2 linked regions of the Callithrix jacchus genome follow. The protein of the gene in region 1 interacts with the protein of each later gene in a pairwise test. Links are inferred from orthologs where the notes say so. Each region holds a gene or a part of one and is shown in the gene's direction. Other genes may lie near its edges.

Region 1 (10,002 bases):
GTCCCCGCGGACACCCCCAGGTGCGCTCCCCCACCCCTCCGCGCCCGGCCAGGTGCCCAGGCCTGACCTGCTCCGGGCCCTGGAAGCAGATCCGGCACTGGGGGGTTCGGAGTCCACTGTCCAGGCTGCTACTGAGTGACAAGGCGTCCAGCGCGCCCGGGGGCGGCAGCGGCGGCGCGGGCGGCGGCAGGGGTCCAGCCCGCGGCTCCTTGTCGCCGGCCAGGCCCCGGGCCCGCGGCTCCGACCCGTAGTACTCCTCCTCGTCGCCGTCGCCGTCCCGGGTGGAGCAGCTGGCGAAGGGCGCCCAGCCGCAGCCGCCTCCCCCGCCCCCCCGGGGCTGCGGCTCGGCCCGGGGCCGCCCCCCGCCCGTCAGCACCAGCAGCTTCAGCTCGTTCAGGAACATGCGGAGCCGAGACTTGAGCATCGTCCGGGCGCCGGGGGCGGGGGGCGGCGTGCAAGGGGGGCTCGCTGGCGGCGGGGGGAAGGGAGAGGACAAGGCCGGGAAGGGGGCGCGCGCTGGAGAGCCGAGCCGGGCCGGGGTCTTCGGGGCCTGCGACCGCCGTTCACTGCTGCCACCGCCGGGGCTCTGGGGCTTGAGGAGCCGAGTGGGCTGGCGGCCCGGGGGTGGCGGGGTGGGCGGCCATGGCCGGGGCAGGGGGCGGGGAGAGGGACTCAGGGTGCCGCGCCCCGCGGGTCCGGGTCCGGAGCGGGCCGGGCCCCCGGGGTTACACGCCCAGGTCCTCCTGCGGCGGGGCCGCCCCCCATGGCCGTCCTCCCGGTTCCAGTCTCGCTCCGGCTCGGGGATCAGGCTCGGCTCGGCCCGTGCGCTCGGTGGTGGCAAATGGCGGCTCCTTCCGGCGGCGGCGGCGGCGGCGGAGACCCCCCCGGAGCGGCGGGCGGGCGGGGCGGGAGCCGGGGAGCGGGTGAAGGATGGAGGGAGGGGCGGGACGGGGAGGGGGAGAGAAGAAGGGGCCGCGGCTGCGCATCCCCTCCCTGCCCCGCCAGAGCAGGTGTCCCCAGGGGCGGGGGCAAGTGTGCGAGCCCGGGGAGGGTGGAGGAAGGGGAGTGGCCAAGGAAGGGGAGTGTGCACACGAGTAGACTAGGTGTGTGTCTGGGAGTGGGGGATGAGCGGGTGAGCATGGAAGGTGAGTGGTCAAAGGACGCAGGTGTACCAGGGAGGGAGAAGCTTGCGCAAAATGGGAGTGTGCAAAGAAAGAGCTGTGCAAGGGTCGGAGGTATGAGAGAGGTACACACATGGGCAGGGGAGGGACTCAAGCAATATACACTTTACCCAAAGGGCTGAAAAGTGTGCTTGATGGGGACTGGGAAAGAGGTGTGTAAGGAATGGAATCGGATTGCCTGAGAAACAGAAGCCTCTGACTGTAATGTGAGGAGGTGAGTGAGCAGGAGGTAGGCGTGCTACAGGGATGGGCGTGTCTTTCCTGGTACTCTCCTGCAGTGACCTCCACTACATTGAAGTGAACAACACACACACTTAGCCTTTGCTTTTATGGAGCCTTCTCTCTGAGAACAAGTTCTACCCCATCACATTTTTTTCTGCCTCACACTTACATTCTCCCTCTCCTACCCTTTGCAAAGCTGAGGGAAAAGGGATTTCAGGGGAGCCCATTGGGTCAAACACACTGGGAAAAAATTAATTAGTGAAAGAGTAATTAACAGAAGAAGGGAGGAGACAGAGCCTGGGACAGACTGCCAAATTAAGGTTCCTCAAAGAAAGTGATGGAGAGACAGTAATGTTCCCATGAAATATTCAAATGGTTTGGATGGACTAATGAATGAATCAGAAAAAGGGGCTGGGACCCAAGCAGACAGAGAGGATGGCTTCTGTTTTAAAGAGAGTAAGCTGTGAGGCCAGGAACGGTAGCTCACACCTGTAATCCCAGTACTTTGGATGGATCATCTGAGGTCGCAAGTTTGAGAACAGCATGACCAACAGGGAGAAACCCTGTCTCTACTAAAAATACCAAAAAAATTAGCTGGGTGTGGTGGCAGGCACCTGTAATCACAGCTACTTGGGAGGCTGAGGTAGGAGCATCACTTGAACCCAGGAGGTGAAGGTTGCGGTGAGCTGAGATGGTGCCATTGCACTCCAGCCTGGACAACAAGAGTGAAACCCTGTCTCAAAAAAATAAAAGAGAGAGAGAAAGCTGGGATGGGCTTATGCGGAAGGTGAGGCTGAAGTGGGGAATGCTGATGTGGGCAGGGAGTTTGAGAAACTCACAGACACTTATCTTAGCTTTCCAGAAGGCTTACAAAGCACCCACCCCAGCAAGGGAGCCAATAAAACATTCACCTCTTGAGCCCCTTAGTCAGTTCAGTCCTTGAGGTTTTTTTTTTACTAGTGTTCCAGTTGCCCTTACCAGGAGGGACCCAGGGCTACAAGTATCAGGATGGAAAGAGGAGGCATCTGTATTAACATGTATCCTGTTTTGCTCTAAATAATAGTTTATATTCATCTTCTAGTTTGAACTCTTATATTCTCAGCCAGATGGTTCAGGAAAACAGAAGTTAGGGTGGAAGGAGTGGCAAATAAGGTAATAAACCAGCTTTAGATTTTAGACAAATTCAGCTGGGCACAGTGTCTCACGACTGTAATCCCAGCATTTTGGGAGGCTGAGGCAGGCAGATAACTTGAGGTTGGGAGTTTGAGACCAGCCTGACCAACATGGAGAAACCCTGTCTCTACTAAAAATACAAAATTAGCTGGGATCACAGGCGTGGTGGCACATCACACTATTGCACTCCACCCCTGGCAACAAAGCGAAACTCCGTCTCAAAAAATACATATATATTTTGTCTAAAATATACATTTATATATATTTTTAGACAAAAAATATATATTTATATATATTTTAGACAAATTGTCAATTCTCACAAATGAGACACTAACCACTTTCCTCCTTTACTCCCATACCCCTAAAGGGCTGGGAGATAAAGAACCTGGAGCCAATAAAACAAAAAAGGTAGGAGAAATCTACCTCTGTCAACCTAGGTGTCTGTGGGCAGAGGCCATTTGGGAAAAATGGTGCTAAGTGCTGGTTCTGGATGGTGCTAAGTGCTAAGAAAGCTGCACTAGGGAAAAAGGGAAGCACAGTGACTCCAAATGAACAGTCACAAGCTTGCAGAAAAGCACGTCATTCCCATTTACTGTGGTTGTCTGGAGGGTGCAGGGGGTGTGGTGGTAACTTCTTGCACATGCGCCTGTCTACGACATGTAATAAGTAATATAACATACATACATATATATATACCTAGAAGTATATATATACACACATATATCTTAATCTCACATAATCATAGAATCTTCCTACTGAAAAAACAAAAACAAAAAACATAAAGGTCAAGTATTCCTGTCTCCTGCTCATCAATAACTTCTCTGCCAGATGGCCTCAAGTCTTTGCATTAACACTTCCAGGAAGGTTTGGAAGTTGGGAACTAGAGGGCATTACTTTGCCACTGTTCCTGTTGTCTTACTGTATTAATCTGCCTTCTGTCCATCCCCTAATTGAAGTTTTGCCCTCCAGTGGGCATTGTCTACTACCTATTTTATAAGACCCCATTGTTGGCTACATCTTTATAGATAGTCGTACCACTACTTTAAAGAGCCAGTGACAGACACCAAAAACAAAACAAAATAAAAACCCACATACACACTGGCAACAAGCACTCAGTACAATTTTGTAGAATGAATGAGTGAAACAATGGCACAAATGAGAGTATGTTTTCTCACGGTGAAGCAAAAAGGTGATAGTACCACCTCTGGTCCCCCAACTCCCACCCTCTCCCCAATGTAGTCAGGCTGAAAGACCAGTGAAACAATCTTTCAGCCCGGAGTTGGGCTCTGGGTGGCCTGGGTTGCCATGGCACCGCCTTGGGCTCCACCCTCTCTTGCCCCCTACCGCGCCCCCCCACCCGCAGCGGGGTTGTGGCAGCTAGTCACGTGCCCTTCGCGTAACCACACCTCTGCTCCTCCGAGCAATGTCAAGCGGTCACGTGTGATAGCAACAGATCACATGGCTGTATCTCCCCTCCGCCCCTCTTACGCTCTTAGCTCTCCTCCCCGTCAAAGCGGCTCCTGGCCGCCCCCACAGCGCTTGGCTGGCGGTCACGTGCCCAGAACGTCCGGCGTTCGCCCCGCCCTCCCAGTTTCCGCGCGCCTCTTTGGCATCTGGTCACATGGTGAGGGTGGGGGTGAGGGGGCCTCTCTAGCCTGCGGCCTGTGTCTATGGTCGGGCCCTCTGCGTCCAGCTGCCCGGGACAGAGCCCGGGTGTATGGGGCCGCAGGAACCGGCTCCGGGGCCCCGATAACGGGCCGCCCCCGCAGCACCCCGGCCTGGCGTGAGGTAAGTGCAGCCCCATCCCAGCTTTCCACGCGTGCGTTTCGAGAGCTGGTTATGAAAGGGTCGTTCAAGGGCGGGAAATGGGGCCTTTGTGGTCGTGGGAAGGTATAATTTTAGGGACTGAGGTGTAAGATCTTCGATGCAAGGCGTGTGTCATGTGTGATCTTTGTACGGGGCGCGATTGTCCCAAAAGAAAAGGCATTTTTTATTGTAGGGCCTCACGTGGCTGCAGGGGTTGGTATTGAGTCATTGTGTTATCTCCGGGGCCGGCCCAAGGAAGATTGGGAGCGGGGGATGGGATGCTGGTGTTGTTCTTTGTGCTTTTTCTTGGGAGTCCCTTTGTTGCTGCAGGCTCATACCATCCTAACTCTGTAAGGGACTTTTAGTGATAGGAGTCTTTGTGATTGTAGGGTCTCCCTTGATCTGAGAATGGCTACCTCTCGATATGAGCCAGTGGCTGAAATTGGTGTCGGTGCCTATGGGACAGTGTACAAGGCCCGTGATCCCCACAGTGGCCACTTTGTGGCCCTCAAGAGTGTGAGAGTCCCCAATGGAGGAGCTGGAGGAGGCCTTCCCGTCAGCACAGTTCGTGAAGTGGCCTTACTGAGGCGACTGGAGGCTTTTGAGCATCCCAACGTTGTCCGGTGAGAAGGCGGTGGAGGGTTGGGAGTGGGCAGTAAAGGGAAAAGACAGTCTATAGGTGGGGTGTGGTGATCTGGTGAGAAGTGGGGACCCAGAGGAAATAATGAGAGGTCATGTGGGTTAAAGGGGATTGACAAGTGAGCATTTACTCTGGCCAGGCTGATGGATGTCTGTGCCACATCGCGAACTGACCGAGAGATCAAGGTAACCCTGGTGTTTGAGCATGTAGACCAAGATCTAAGGACATATCTGGACAAGGCACCCCCACCAGGCTTGCCTGCAGAGACCATCAAGGTGAGTGGGGTTGGTAGGCATTGAGAGGTGAATTGGGACCTTTGTAGTAGAACCTCCTGGGATTTCAGGGATGGTGCCTAGTTTCCAGTGCATCTGTTCCTCCCCCTTCTGAACTAGGATCTGATGCGCCAGTTTCTAAGAGGCCTAGATTTTCTTCATGCCAATTGCATCGTTCACCGAGATCTGAAGCCAGAGAACATTCTGGTGACAAGTGGTGGAACAGTCAAGCTGGCTGACTTTGGCCTGGCCAGAATCTACAGCTACCAGATGGCACTTACACCTGTGGTCAGTAGAAAGATGGTACCAATATGGGTTCTGGTTGGGAGTAGGAGAGTGGTGGCCCATAACAATTGAGAAGTCATGTGCTTCATGTGTTCAGTTAAGTCAGTTGTATTTCATGGTAACGCATGGGATCCCCATCCATTTTTCCTATCCCCTTTAGGTGGTTACACTCTGGTACCGAGCTCCCGAAGTTCTTCTGCAGTCCACATATGCAACACCTGTGGACATGTGGAGTGTTGGCTGTATCTTTGCTGAGATGTTTCGTCGAAAGTATGGGACCCACATACCCTGGACCACCTTGAATTCCCCAAATCTCTTGTTCATAAACCACATCCAAACCTCCCTTCCATTCTTCTTCTTTTTTTTTTTTTTTTTTGTTGGAGACAGGGTCTTCTCTGTTGTCCAGGCTAGATTGCAATGACATGATCACAGTTCACTGAAGCTTCAACCTCCTGGGCTCAAGTGATCCTCCCATCTCAGCCTCCCGAGTAGCTCACACTATAGGCGCACACCTCCATGCCTGGCTATTTTTTAATATTTTTGTAGAGATGGGGTCTCAGTATATTGCCCAGGCTGGTCTTGAACTCTTACACTCAAGCAGTCCTCCCAACTCTACCTCTCAAAGTGCTGGAATTACAAGCATGACCTACTGCACCTGGCCCCATTCGTTTACTTGAGTTCTACTGACTACCTTGGCCATAACGGGAAGCACTAAAATGTTCTGGAATTGGGAACTTCATATCCCTTTATTCTCCTTTATTTATTTATTTATTTGAGACAAGGTCTCACTCTATCACCCAGGCTGGAGTGCAGTGGCACAATTACAGCTCACTGTACCCTCTACCTCTTGGGCTCAAGCAGTCCTCCTGTCTCAGCCTCCTGAGTAGCTGGGACTACTACAGGCGCACGCCACCATGAATGGCTTTTTTTTTTTTTTTTCAAGACAGAGTGTGGCTCTGTTGCTAGGCTGGAGTGCAGTGGTGCGATCTTGGCTCACGGCAACCTCTACCTCCCGGGTTCAAGCAATTCTTCTGCCTCAGCCTCCCGAGGAGCTGGGACTACAGGTGTACACCACCGTGCCAAGCTAATTTTTATATTTTTAGTAGAGACGGGGTTTCACCATGTAGGCCAGGATGGTCTCCATCTCTTGGCCTCATGATCTGCCCACCTCTGCCTCCCAAAGTGCTGGGATTACAGGCGTGAGCCACCGCACCTGACATTTTTTTTTTTTTTTTTTTTTAAGAGACAAGGTCTTGCTTGTCCAGGCTTATCTAGAACTCCTGGGCTCAAAGAGTTGTCTCACCTTAGCATCCCAAAGTGCTGGAATTACTGGTCTTTATTTGCTATACTTTTTATTTTGGGCTACTAAGTAGTAACAGCCATTCGACTATGATACTTTAAAAATGACAGCTACCTTATGTCTCTTCTTACCTTAGGCCTCTCTTCTGTGGAAACTCTGAAGCTGACCAGTTGGGCAAAATCTTTGAGTAAGTGACCAATATGGGAGAAAAATATTTTACATTCTGAGTCCTCTTTCTGCTGAGCCCAGGATGGCAACTGGCTCTCTCCATGGGGATGGGAACTGGAGGACCCTCCTGACCACAGCTCTCCTGTCCCCCACAGCCTGATTGGGCTGCCTCCAGAGGATGACTGGCCTCGAGATGTATCTCTGCCCCGTGGAGCCTTTCACCCCAGAGGGCCCCGCCCAGTGCAGTCGGTGGTACCTGAGATGGAGGAGTTGGGAGCACATCTGCTGTTGGTATTGGAGATGGCTGTGGGCACAGGGAGGGACTGGGGGAAGAAGCAGAGCAGTACACAGGGCCCTGGCCACTGTGGTTAATGAAACTTGGTTGGTAGATGGGCTGTAGTTTTTATTGCAGCTGCAAATAGCCACCCACAGAGAGGGATCTAAAAGAGAGCCCATCCTGGCCAGGCGTAGTGGCTCACACCTGTAATACCAGCACTTGGGAGGCTAAGGCGGGTGGATCACCTGAGGTCAGGAGTTTGAGACCAGCCTGGCTAAAATGGTGAAACCTCATCTCTACTAAAAATACAAAAAGTAAGGCAGGCATGGTGGCACATGCCTGTCATCCCAGCTACTCGGGAAGCTGAGGCAGGAGAATCGCTTGAACTCAGGAGGCGGAGGTTGTAGTAAGCCGAGATCACACCACTGCACTCTAGCCTGGGCGACAGAGCAAGACCGTCTCAAAAAAAATAAAATAAAAAGAGAGAGCCCATCCCAGGTATTGTCACTGGTGCACAGAAGTCTCTTTCAGTTTTCTTCATGGTTTTCTAACCTTTGCCTCTCCCCTCAGGAAATGCTGACTTTTAACCCACACAAGCGAATCTCTGCCTTTCGAGCTCTGCAGCACTCTTACCTACATAAGGATGAAGGTAATCCGGAGTGAGCAATGGAGTGGCTGCCATGGAAGGAAGAAAAGCTGCCGTTTCCCTTCTGGACACTGAGAGGGCAGTCTCTGCCTTTGTCTCTGAGGCTGTGGAGTCTCCACCTCCATCTTTCTACAGAGATTACTTTGCTGCCTTAATGATATTCCCCTCCTACCTCTCCTTCTGAGGCCTCTCCTTCTGCCCCCCTATTTCCTACACTAAGGGGTATGTTCCCTCGTGTCCCTTTCCCTACCTTTATATTGGGGGTCTTTTTTTATACAGGAAAAACAAAACAAAGAAAAAATGGTCTTTTTTTTTCTTTTTTTTTAATGTTTCTTCCTTTGTTTGGCTTGGCCATTGTTCGATTTGGAAAAACCACTTGGAAGAAGGGACTTTCCTGCAAAACCTTAAAGACTGGTTAAGGTACAGGGCCTAGGCAGTCAGTGGAGCCCCTGGACTGACAAAGCTTAGAAAGAAACTGAAATTCCTTCTCTAAATATGGAATTTAGGCCAGGCGTGATGGCTCACACCTATAATCCCAGCACTTCGGGAGGCCAACATGGGTGGATCACCTGAGGTCAGGAGTTCGAAACCAACCTGACTTAACATGGTGAAACCCAGTCTGTACTAAAAATACAAAATTAGCTGGGTGTGGTGGTGCATGCCTGTAATCCCAGCTGTTTGGGAGGCTGAGGCAGGAGGATTGCTTGAACCCGGGAGGCAGACATTGCAGTGAGCCGAGATCATGCCATTGCACTTCACTCTGGGTGACAGAACAAGACTCCGTATAAAAAAAAAAAAAAAAAAAAAGCATTTTTAAATGGCTTTTATATTCATTGAACTTTCTCAAACTGGGTCCTGCTTATTACAGGAAAGAGTTCTTGGTGGTTTTCTCCTTGTCTCTGTCCCTAATTTACCCTTAAAGCCACACCAGGGTATGTTGAGGTGATCTAGTATATGGACAGAGGAGGAGGGGGAACAGTTAAGAATGACCCCAGTCCATTCTATGCACTCCCAGAAGCTTCCCATATCCTCCTGGAGAGAGGGAGAAAGTTTTTCCTTTTATTCCTTATAGTCTGGCTCCCACTAAAATATGTCAAGGTGTAAAGTCTTGCTATTCCATCAATTGTAGGGGATATGACAAGGGGCCTTTCCTTTTTCTCAAACCAAAAGGGTTACAAACCCTAGATTTTCTCTAAGGGAGGAAGAGAAAGAGCAGAAGAGAAGTCAGAAGGATCCAAAGTCTCATAGAAAGGCACTGGGGTTGGCTCTAGGATCCTTCTGATTCCGAAATCTCATTGCTAGCCAAACACCAAGGATCTGTAGGAACAAAGAGAGAAATAAGCACCAATTCTCAGTCTCAAGTTTAAAAGGGTGTACATGAGGGAACTGGAGAATGTTACCTCTGTAAAGCTAAAGAAGAGTCCAACACCCCCTAGGATTTTCAGGGCTTCATCTGAATGCTTAAGAAACTTTTCTCCACACATTTGGCATGTGGGGCTCTGGCTCTTGCAGATCTGAGGATATAAAATGTGTGTGAAGAATGCAAAGTTGCTAGTCACCAATACCTATGCTGAATGTCCCCAGAAACTTTACTGTTATCTGACTAGTGTCCTACAAACTAAAATCTCACTTAGCTAATTCCCCAGCCTCTGTATCCACCCCTATCCCCTACCAACACACAGCCCCAATACAAGATGGCTTCTAGAAAGAGAAATAATGACATTCAAACTAAATTTGCCAACTTGGGCATTGTCCTTACCCAGTTTCCTACCTCCCCGGCTGCTGTACCACCCCCAACACACTCACTGCAGTGCAGAAATCATAATCTTGTTGATACAGGGTTGTAAGGTTGAATAAGCCACAACAATCAAAACTTCTTTCCAGTTCATCCCGAGTCTTGTTGCTCATGACCCACCAAGAAGCATTGATGACATCTGTCTGGAGGATATGGGCAGAGGGAAATTAAATCTTCCTACATCCTGATATAAGTTGAAGTCCAATTTCACTAGTCCAGCAAAGGAAGTCAACCAGA
Region 2 (10,129 bases), on another chromosome or scaffold:
GAGTTTAAGACCAGCCTAGGCCAGATGGCAAGACTTCATCTCTACCAAAAAGTAAAAATATTAGCCAGTCATGGTGGCCAACACCTGTAGTCCCAGCTACTTTGGAGGCTGAGGCAGGAGGATCCCTTCAGTCCAGGAGTTCGAGGTGGCAGTGACCCTTGCTCATGGTACTGCACTATAGCCTGGCTGACAAGGTGTAACCCATCCCTTAAAGAAAAAAAGAGGGAGAGAGAGATACAACAGACTGGTAGCAATTTCAGCCAATTTCAATGTGCTAGCCTTATTTTAATCCTTATTCAAATGAATAAATTATTAACAATAGTTTTAAAAGAAATGAAAAGTAAAATGTGTAAAAATTAAGATGCTGTTAAAGGCTGAATTGTTGCCTCAAAATTCTTATGTTAAAGTCCTAATCCCAATACTCACAATGTGACTATATTTGGAAATATGGCCATTAAAGAAGTGACTAAGTTAAAATAAGGCCATTGGGGTGGGCCCTAATCCAATCTGACCGGTGTTCTCAAAAGAGGAGGAAATTAGGACACACAAAAGAGACTCAGGGGCATGTGTGCACACTATGTGTGCTGACTATGTGAATAGGCAGCAGCAGGATGACCATCTGCAAGTCAAGAAGAGGGGCCTTAGGAGAAGTTAAAACTGAGAAAATAAATATCTGTTGTTGAAGCCACTCAGTCTGTGGTATTTTGTTATGGCAGTGCTGGCAAACTGATACAGATGCTAAAATGATGAGTAAGTCTACCATTTAATTAATCTTGAAAAACACCTGGGAATATGGCAGTAGATACTGTGGATCATGGAGCAATAATTCCCAACTCATAAAATGGAGAAAATCAAACCACCTGGTGGGAAGGTGGGTCATATAAAATTTGAAAAGGGCCCCAAAGTGATTATAAATTTCCTTCTCTTCTCACTTAGAAACACTATCTTAGACCTAACAATGTGCAAAAGAGCACACAAATGAGGGCAAGGTTAGGTCACTGTTTCCTTTAGCCAGTCAATTAGTTCTATTCATACATTTTTGGAGAGGTCATATACAGACAGTTTCACCAACTAGAATATAAAAATATTATTTCTAGTGATCTAAGTTACGTGCAACATTGGAACAGATACTACTCATTTCCTCCCACTAACCTCCAAAATTCTAAGCCAATTTGCCATTAACTTTTTCTTCTCACTTATAAATTATTCACCATATTAAAAGACATGGCTCTGAGAAGTCCAAGTTTCAGCTGCCCACTATGTTCCCAACCACTTCATCTTTTAAATGTGTTTAAAGCATTAACAACAGATTGTGTTTCACCCTAGAGACAGCTGGGTTTCAAAGAGAGGTAAAATGTTTCATAATCTCACTCTACTGTCCAAGACAAATGTGCTATTGTATTACATGAGAAGTGTCATCTTTGAAGTCTATTAAGGGTGTGCTGTGAGGTGAGCCATCTGGAAAACACAGTGTAGACTGAATAATAATTACATTAGTTTATTACTCTTTTTCCAGTTAAGCCCACCATGACAGCTGCTAAAAACACTATGTAGTATAAAGGGTAACAAGACTCTGAAGTTGCACAAGTTATACCCATCACCAATAATGATTAGCTAGTATACAAGTCACTCAACTTTTCTGATCCTTTTGGCTTGTCTGTATAATTGAAATATGGACACATTCCACAAGGAGTTTTATGAGTGCTAAATGAAACAACGGGCCAGGCACAGTGGCTCACGCCTGTAATGTCACTCCCAAAACTTTGGGAGACCGGGTCGGGCAGGTCACGAGGTAAGCCTGGCCAATATGGTGAAACCCCGTCTCTACTAAAAATACAAAAATTAGCTGGGCGTAGTAGCTGCGCCTGTAATCTCAGCTACTCAGGAAGCTGAGGCAGGAGAATAACTTGAACCCAGGGGGCAGAGTTTGCAGTGAGCCAAGATCACGCCACTGTACTGCACTCCAGCCTGGGCAACAGAGCAAGACTGTCAAAAAGAAAGAAGGGAAGGATGGAAGGAAGGAAGAAAGGAAGAAAGGAGGGAAGGAGGGAAGGAGGGAAGGAAGGAAGGAAGGAACAGTTGTAAAGCACTTGGGACAGATTACACAGTACGTGGTATTTCTCTTCTTCTAAATATAGACTGTATGATATTCTTTATACAGGGAATATTAGATAAAATCTAACCATATTTGGAAACCAGGTTGAACAGGTTGATTTTTCAAAGAAATCCATTGAGCTCCCATAAGGTCCTTTCTATTTAATGGAGAAAAGGGGCTTTGGAAGATACAGTTTGAAGCTTTAGAATTCTGTCTGGAACAGGTTAGGACCACCCAGGCCTGTGAGTATAAGCAAAGCGCTGTCCGTGGTGCTACTAAGCGCGAAGGCCCCCGGCATCATTTTCCCTACCCAAAGTTGTTTTTCAGCCGACTTGCTTAGCGAAGCTCACACATCTGTCTCGTCATTATACTTACCCATTAGTTCTTTCCCTATCACCATCCTTTGTGCTCCCGTCAAAGAAGAACATTATCTTCTATTTCCCTATCAACTACAGTTTTCATTTTTCGGACACATTTACCACCTAAGAAATTGGCTCAGGAATTCGCTCAGACTATCTTGTCCTAATTTTTTTGATAAGTTTCAGAGAAACTCAAGGTCAAAGCTCTTGCTTTGACATTTTTCTTTTTTGAGACCGAGTTTTACTCTGTCACCCAGGCTGGAGTGTAGTGGTGCGATCTCAGCTCACTGTAACCACTGCCTCCCGAGTTCAAGCGATTCTCCTGCCTCAGTCTCCTGAGTAGCTGGGATTACAGGCGTGCACTATCATGCCCGGCTAATTTTTGTGTTTTTAGTACAGACAGAGTTTCTCCATGTTGCTCAGGCTGGTCTCAAACTCCTGAGCTCAAGCGATCCAGATCCACACACTTCGACCTCACCAAGTGCTGGAATTACACGCATGAGCCACTGCACCCAGCCTCTAGACACATTCATTTATGATGCATCCTTTGAAAACTCTCTTCGATTGGCATCTCCTCTTAGAAACGTTCCTTGTACCCTCACCCTAAATTAGGTTCCGGTCTTCCTTACTTCCAAAGCACCTTGTGGATATACATTAAATTGAAACTATTTATTAGTTTCTAGTGCCACTACAGAGTTTCTTAAAAGTGAGGACTCATGTCTTATTCAACTTTGAACTTCTAGAATATAGGACATGCTGCATTACTTACTTTGAACTAAACTTAATAACTGTATCTATGAGAGACAAGATCCCAATAACAAAAAGGCAACCTCCCTTGTTGCATTTGACTGTGCACTACATTTTGGAGTACCTCGGCTTTTCTGATGAAGATATTCTGGACTGTGTCTTTGCCACCACATCCACCACACCAGGCTAGTGGCTTGGCCCCTCAGGGTGAATGGTAAAGAACCAATGTCATTCATTTTAAAGACTCCTGCTTCCCACTGCCCATCTTTCCTCCTCTTTCTCCTGTTCTACCTACACCTCTGTTATCCCCAATACACTATGCATGGGGACTGATTCCCAAGACAAAAGCAATCTGTTCATGTGTTTCACCCAGAAGTAGACTTTGGTTCCTCTAGTCAAATCTAAAAATGGAGTAGCCATCAACAAATAAAAGGGCATTTTCACAGAAACATGGAAGTTTGAATAAAAGTGAAAGGTAGAGGAATTAAGAAACTGAAGACTACGAAATTGAGGTTGGATGGTAAAGACAAAGAAATTGTTATTAATGTTAAGCAGTTCCCTTCCCTGTCCAGGTAGATTTCAGCTCTGTTGAGGCTCCATCAGATTTTCAGCCCTAACCACCACTTCCATGGGCACCACTTCCTTTAAAAGAAAGCTTTCTCTCATGCTACAGGGATTTGGGTGATGAGGAGTCAGAGCTGAGGTATCCTAGAAGAAACAGGTGGAGACTCTCATTTTGCAATATACAACCAATTGCCCTCCTTTTAAAACTTTGTCTTCCTCAGCACTCTGAACCAAAATGATTCTGTAAATAAAAATTGTTCACTCTAAGGAGACGTTCACTTGTGTAGTTCCTCACCAAAGTTTTTAGGCAACAAATCCATAATTTGTTGTTTTCTTCCTAGCCAATTTAGCATCAGCTGAAATTTTTTAAAATAATATAATAAATGTTGATTCAAACTCACCTAGGAAGATTAGAAAGGGGAAAAAAGGCACTTGGCATTTAAATCTTCAGAAGAGAATTTAATAACAGGTTCAGCCTGTTTAATGACAGGCCCAGCACCACACCCTTCTCTTATTATGTTTCATCATTACTGCATAAATTTCCTTTACTACTCACGATAAATAAAAAATTAAATGCTTGACAAAGTGGATTTAAACAGGTAAGAGTGCAAACAAAGATTTGCTGTACAAATATGATGAAACTGGGATCTCAGATTCTTAAAGTATAAATTTTTTTTGTCTATGTGTTCCAGGTTGCCACTCTCAATCTCTAACTAGTTTTTTTTTTTCTTTTTTGAGGGTTATATTCATAATGCAAAGATGGAAAGAATTTAAAGGCACATGCAAAACAGGATTCTCAGAATTTTTCTCTATTATTATGGTTGACTAATTCAAATAGGAAGACACGTCCAAAAGAAAATTGCTAAGGTTGACACAAGATATGAAACTTACGAAGTTCAAGTACTGCCTGGGATGAATTTAACTTGTATGACAGGTGCAGAGCTGTCGCTTTCAGACATCTTAAGAAAGACGGAGTTATTTTCAGTGCCTTTCTCTCAGCCACAAGGGAGCCACCAACGTCTCTCAAGTGAAACCAACTGGCCTAAGGCTGACGGAACAGAAGTCCTCTGCTCCGCCTACTGGGAATTAGAAGCTGAGGGCAGTGGGTCAACATTCCCAAAATCTTAGCCTTGGATTTACTGGACATCCAGCCAGCAGTGCTGCCGGCGTCCCGGCGGCTCCCCGGCCCAGTCTCTGGCGCATGCGTCCCAGCACCTTTGGGCGGGCTTCCCCGCCGCCGTGACGCGTCGACCGGGCCGGGCCTTCCCGCGAGCAGGCGGGCAGGGGGCGGAGCCTAAGGGGGAGGGGAGAGGCAGGCCCCTTGGCCCAGCTGAAAACTGAATTCTTTGCCGGCTGGCTCCCCACTCTGCCAGAGCAAGGCGGGGCAGTGAGGACTCCGCGACGCGTCCGCACCCTGCGGCCAGAGCCGCTTTGAGCTCGGCTGCGGCCGCGCGAGGCGCTTTTTCCCAGAAGCAATCCAGTCGCGCCGGGTGGTTCTTGGGGCCAGGAAAAAGCCCGGAGCTAATACCCGCCGCTCTGACATCGAACGGGGCCGCAAGCCGCAGACGCACGGCGGAGGGGAATGAAGCTGAGTCCAGCTCTCCCAGGAAGACAGTGCGCCGGAGCGGCGTGGGAAAGAAGGGAGGAGTGTCGTTAAGTTTACCGCCCACGGTGGATTACCCGGGCCGCTGCGCGTCTGGGGGCTGCGGAATGCGCGAGGAGAACAAGGGCATGCCCAGTGGGGGCGGCAGCGATGAGGACCTGGCCAGCGCCGCGGCGCGAGGACAAGTGGAGAAGGTGCGACAGCTCCTGGAGGCCGGCGCGGATCCCAACGGAGTCAACCGCTTTGGGAGGAGCGCAATCCAGGTAGCTGGGCCCCGGGGCCTCGCCGGCAGGGGGCGCGCGAACGCGGGGCGCGGCCTCGGTGGGTCGGGGCTGGAACCTAGATCGCCGGTGTAGACTTACGCAGCAGTCTCCCTTGGCCGGAGGTGTACAGCCCAGGCATAAAACAGGCTTTTACCCAACAAAAATCCTAAAGAGAGAGATTGAAAAACCCACTGTTTCAGCTTTTCTTTAAAATATTGTTTTCTGCCATCTCATGATCAGAAATGCAAGGAATAGATTGAATTGGGAAAAAAAGGAGAAAGGGAAAGTTTATTTGGGGAGGAAGACTTGTCTGCCTGCTTTCAACGATACAGATAAGTAAACTAAGTTATACATTCTGGATTGGATTTAAGGAATTCTACAAAATCATAGTACATGGAAAAAATTCAATGTAAAGTTTTAAGCTACTATATGAAATCTGTTGTATTGTTTTCTCATAAAGGTTAATTGAATTCAAAGTAATAAGACTGGATTCCTCAACCACAGTACTTAGTTCTTTTTATGTTAGCAATGTCTTATAAGTGATGCATAAGAGAAAAATATATACATATAGTTCTATAGATTTTTCATTTAATTATCATACTCAGTGCTCAGATTACAAAAATATTCCTGCAGCTACTGTTAGGTCCTTTCTGAATGACAAAGGATCTTCATAAATAAGGTATCTTTATCTTCATTGTTAAAGTACTTGTATTCAATGTTTACAAATCCTGCTTTAATTAGTACTGATATTTTTAATTTCTTTTACAATCTTAGGACAACACTTTTGTACTTTACCATTGGCTATTGGTCATATTCAGTATTCACCTCACTATCACCCTCCAAAACTAAGCTAATACTAAGGGATCTTGTTACAGTGTAGATTTTATAGAAGTGTCCATTTCTTTTGAATTCTTAGAATAGAGGTAAAACAAATAAGGGATATTTTAAAGGAGCAAAAATATTGTAAAGTGGTTTTTTAAAACTTAAAATTCTATTAATAATTATAAAAACAAGTTATATATATAATTCACCATTTTCTGAAATACTAAGAACAGCTATTTTCCCCTCTGTTTTCTATGTAAAATACCTTACATCGCTAGTAAAAAAATAACATCATGGTTTTCAAGGGAGGAAATGAACATTTCTAATATTAATGAAATAAGCAAACAAAACATGAGAAGTATACTGCCTTTCAATTAAATGGTACATTTTAAAGTACATAAACCCATAACTTGATTTGGGACATTTACCAAAAACTGTCTTATAATTAACTTAAAATATGTCAGCAAATGTTTTGATAATGTTCATGTACACAAATGGCTGCTATAGGATTACTCCTGCAAAACGCTTTTTCTAAGTTATGCATCATCCTGATTGACTGCTGACATCCAAGCTCTTTTTATTTATTTTATTTTATTTTTTATTTTTTTGAGATGGGGCATCACTCTGTTGGGCAGACTGGAGTGCAGTGGTATGATCTCAGCTCACTGCAACCTCAGCTTCCAAGGTTCAAGTGATTCTCCTGCTTCAGCCTCCCGAGTTTTGGGGGCTGTAGACCGGCCCCACCACTCCCAGCTAATTTTTTTTCTTTCTTCTTTTTTTTTTTTTTTGTAGTAGAGACAGGATTTCACCATGTTGGCAAGGCTGGTCTCCAACTCCTGACCTCAGGTGATCTGCCTACTTCCGCCTCCCAAAGTGCTGGGATTACATTACCTGGCCCAAGCTCTTTTTATATAGCAAAATATTTACTATTTAACGTTATAAAATCTTAGCTATTATACAATCCTATAGTACATGGAAAAATATAAATATATTGTTAGTTTTACATTACATTAAATATATTACACTCTAAATTTAAAATGATGAACTGTTTAACAAAAATCATTTGTTCTCACAATTTTATAAGATTTTGCATGATTTAATTTACTTTTCCCTTCTAATCTCCAACTTTGGCTCAAATTTCACACTACAATCTCTTTATGAACACAGACACAAGATAAAAGCCTTCCCCGCAGGATTTGCTGAGAACTAAACTTTTTTAAAAACATAGTGGTTGATTTTCTCCCCTAAACCATTACTCCCAACTTCTGACAAACAGTAGTTGGCTTCCTAGTAAATATTTTGAGACCTAGATTATGGAGGAGGGGTCAGCAAGGCAAATAATTTGAAACTTTAAAAGCCAAATAAATTTAACTGTGCCTATAAATCATTTAACAAAATAGATTCCCATGTTCCGATGGAAATCAAGATTTGCTTTCCACAATGACGATCATCACTTTACCATCAACTTTCTTGTCTCTGCACGTTTAGAAAATAAAATGGCATTTAATTTGTACTGAGTAGAGTATAACCTGAAGGTGGGGTGGGAAAGCAGATTGCATCAGCAAATGAAGAAACACCAGACACCGGAGACTTGAACACCTCTGCACTGGGTGGATACTTCACAAATAGGTGTTTGTTTAAAGGCTCCGCCCACCTCACCCAGGCCGGCACCTCCCACACCTGACTCCACCCTGGCTCTGACCACTCTGCTCTCTCTGGCAGGTCATGATGATGGGCAGTGCCCGCGTGGCAGAGCTGCTGCTGCTTCACGGTGCCGAGCCCAACTGTGCGGACCCTGCCACTCTCACCCGACCGGTGCACGACGCTGCCCGGGAGGGCTTCCTGGACACGCTGGTGATGCTGCACCGGGCAGGGGCACGGCTGGACGTGCGCGATGCCTGGGGCCGTCTGCCCTTGGACCTGGCTGAGGAGAGGGGCCACTGCGATGTTGCAGGGTACCTGCGCGCGGCTGCGGGGGACTGACACCGGGTTCCCCAGCCGCCCACAACGACTTTATTTTCCTCCCCAATTCCCCACCCCCACCCACCGAATTAGATGAAGGCTGCAAAAGGGGAGCAGCAGGAAGCCTGTAAACCTACAGGCTGTCTGAGACTCGCAGGAAGGGGGAGCCTACCAGGAATAACCTTCCATACTTTTTTTTTTTTCTGGATCCGGCCCTCGACACTCACCGTGAAGCCAAACACAGGCGGATTTCCAGTGATACTTAGGAGTGTGTGAAGTTCAGGTGTCGTTTGCTTTTCCGGGTTTTCTCAGGGAAAGTGTATATGAAATCCTTGACCAACCCTGGTGGCTACTAATCTTCCAATGGATGACTCCAGCGCTGAGTGGAAGACAGTCGTGATTGGCATTTGGGTGGGGGCAGTCCATGCGTTCACCCCACTGTCTGCTGAGGAGTTCTGGTGAACCCACAGGTTAGGCCCTAGCGGGGGGTGGGGGGGGGGGTGGGGAAGAAAACCTGAAGACTGAGGACAAAGTGGACGAGGGCTGAGGTGGGCTTCAGAAAGTGCTCGGTGCTTTTTGTCTGGCCGCTTGGCAAATCCAGAGCGGAAACCACACTCTCTGGAAGCGCTGGGGACCCGTGCCCAGCTCCACCAGATAGCAGAGGGGTAAGAGAGGACATGCAAGCGAAGACAGATGTCCCCCCAAAGATCGTCGTAGTCCTAAAATCCCTGGACCACGACGCTGCAGAACACCTTTGCAGAGGGTGTTGGCCTTTGTTCTTACTGCACTGAGGAGAGATTACCGCGGCATTCCGGAGGCAAACTGCGCAGGATGAGATGGTGAAGTGGAATGAGAGCAATTGTAAGGGTTAACTGTAACGTTTTGTTTCTTAAACACAAGCGTGCGCGCGCATGAATTGCTACTTTTTGCTTTTATGATATTTTGTATTTTTTTAGTTGTTCAGTAACTGTCTTATTTAATGCAGAGATTTTAAATAACATTATAACTAGTGGCTCTCAGTTAAAACGTAGAAAGAACTACAGCTCTTAAATGTAGCCATGGCACTGTAGCAAGCTCTGTGCAAACGCCTAGATTGCTTTCTCCTTAACCTATTTATTTCTTTGTTAAATATTTCTGATTGTTTCCTTTATAGAGTGTCTCAGAGTGCAGAGGTCAGACTAAGAAATATTCCAAATGTCTTTTAGAAGATAGATGCACTTATTTAGTAAATTATCTGGGGATATTTCCCAAAAGACTGCTGAAAAAAATAGATTGAGTATAAAAACTGTTGTAAATATATGATGGCTTGTGGGATGTCCTACTATCTACTGAACAAACTAAAGATGCACTGCTTTGGGATTTAATTTCCAGTGTTGCTTATTATATCATTGGAAAAAACTGATACTTCACTGCTTTATAAAGAATTAACAGATTGAACTCCAAGAGATGGGTAATTTGGTTTAAAAATATATGTTCATGGATTTACCACTAACTCCTGAGAAATGTTAAAGGTTCACAGGAGTTCCCTTATCTCAACATTTGTAATAATTATTTATAAGCAATACCAACAATGTATAAAAACTGCTTACATATGCCATAGAAAATTAAACATAAAATTTATACATGTATTATGCTTCTGAATGCTCATTCTACTAACATTTAAAAGAGGCAAAAAGAAACAGAAAAAAGTGATTTGAGAGTAGAGACTTGTAAG

What was found.
Region 2: the proteins of CDK4 (region 1) and CDKN2B interact in binary tests that used the Homo sapiens proteins (3 or more experiments, as listed by UniProt). The link is inferred for Callithrix jacchus from reciprocal best matches to the Homo sapiens genes CDK4 and CDKN2B.

The regions. Positions count from the first base shown.
Region 1 is NC_133510.1:61,950,484-61,960,485, forward strand, and holds CDK4 (cyclin-dependent kinase 4), read left to right. Parts: upstream 1-4,240; 5' UTR 4,241-4,364; intron 4,365-4,771; 5' UTR 4,772-4,790; coding exon 4,791-5,005; intron 5,006-5,161; coding exon 5,162-5,297; intron 5,298-5,414; coding exon 5,415-5,582; intron 5,583-5,739; coding exon 5,740-5,849; intron 5,850-7,015; coding exon 7,016-7,066; intron 7,067-7,202; coding exon 7,203-7,338; intron 7,339-7,894; coding exon 7,895-7,987; 3' UTR 7,988-9,091; downstream 9,092-10,002. Other genes in the region: E3 ubiquitin-protein ligase MARCHF9, read right to left, coding at 68-1,099, 1,589-1,630; TSPAN31 (tetraspanin-31), read right to left, coding at 9,213-9,287, 9,371-9,484, 9,777-9,908.
Region 2 is NC_133502.1:129,003,024-129,013,152, reverse strand, and holds CDKN2B (cyclin-dependent kinase 4 inhibitor B), read left to right. Parts: upstream 1-5,128; 5' UTR 5,129-5,475; coding exon 5,476-5,631; exon of another isoform or gene 5,632-5,797; intron 5,798-8,175; coding exon 8,176-8,436; 3' UTR 8,437-10,041; downstream 10,042-10,129. UniProt on the Homo sapiens protein: Interacts strongly with CDK4 and CDK6. Potent inhibitor. Potential effector of TGF-beta induced cell cycle arrest.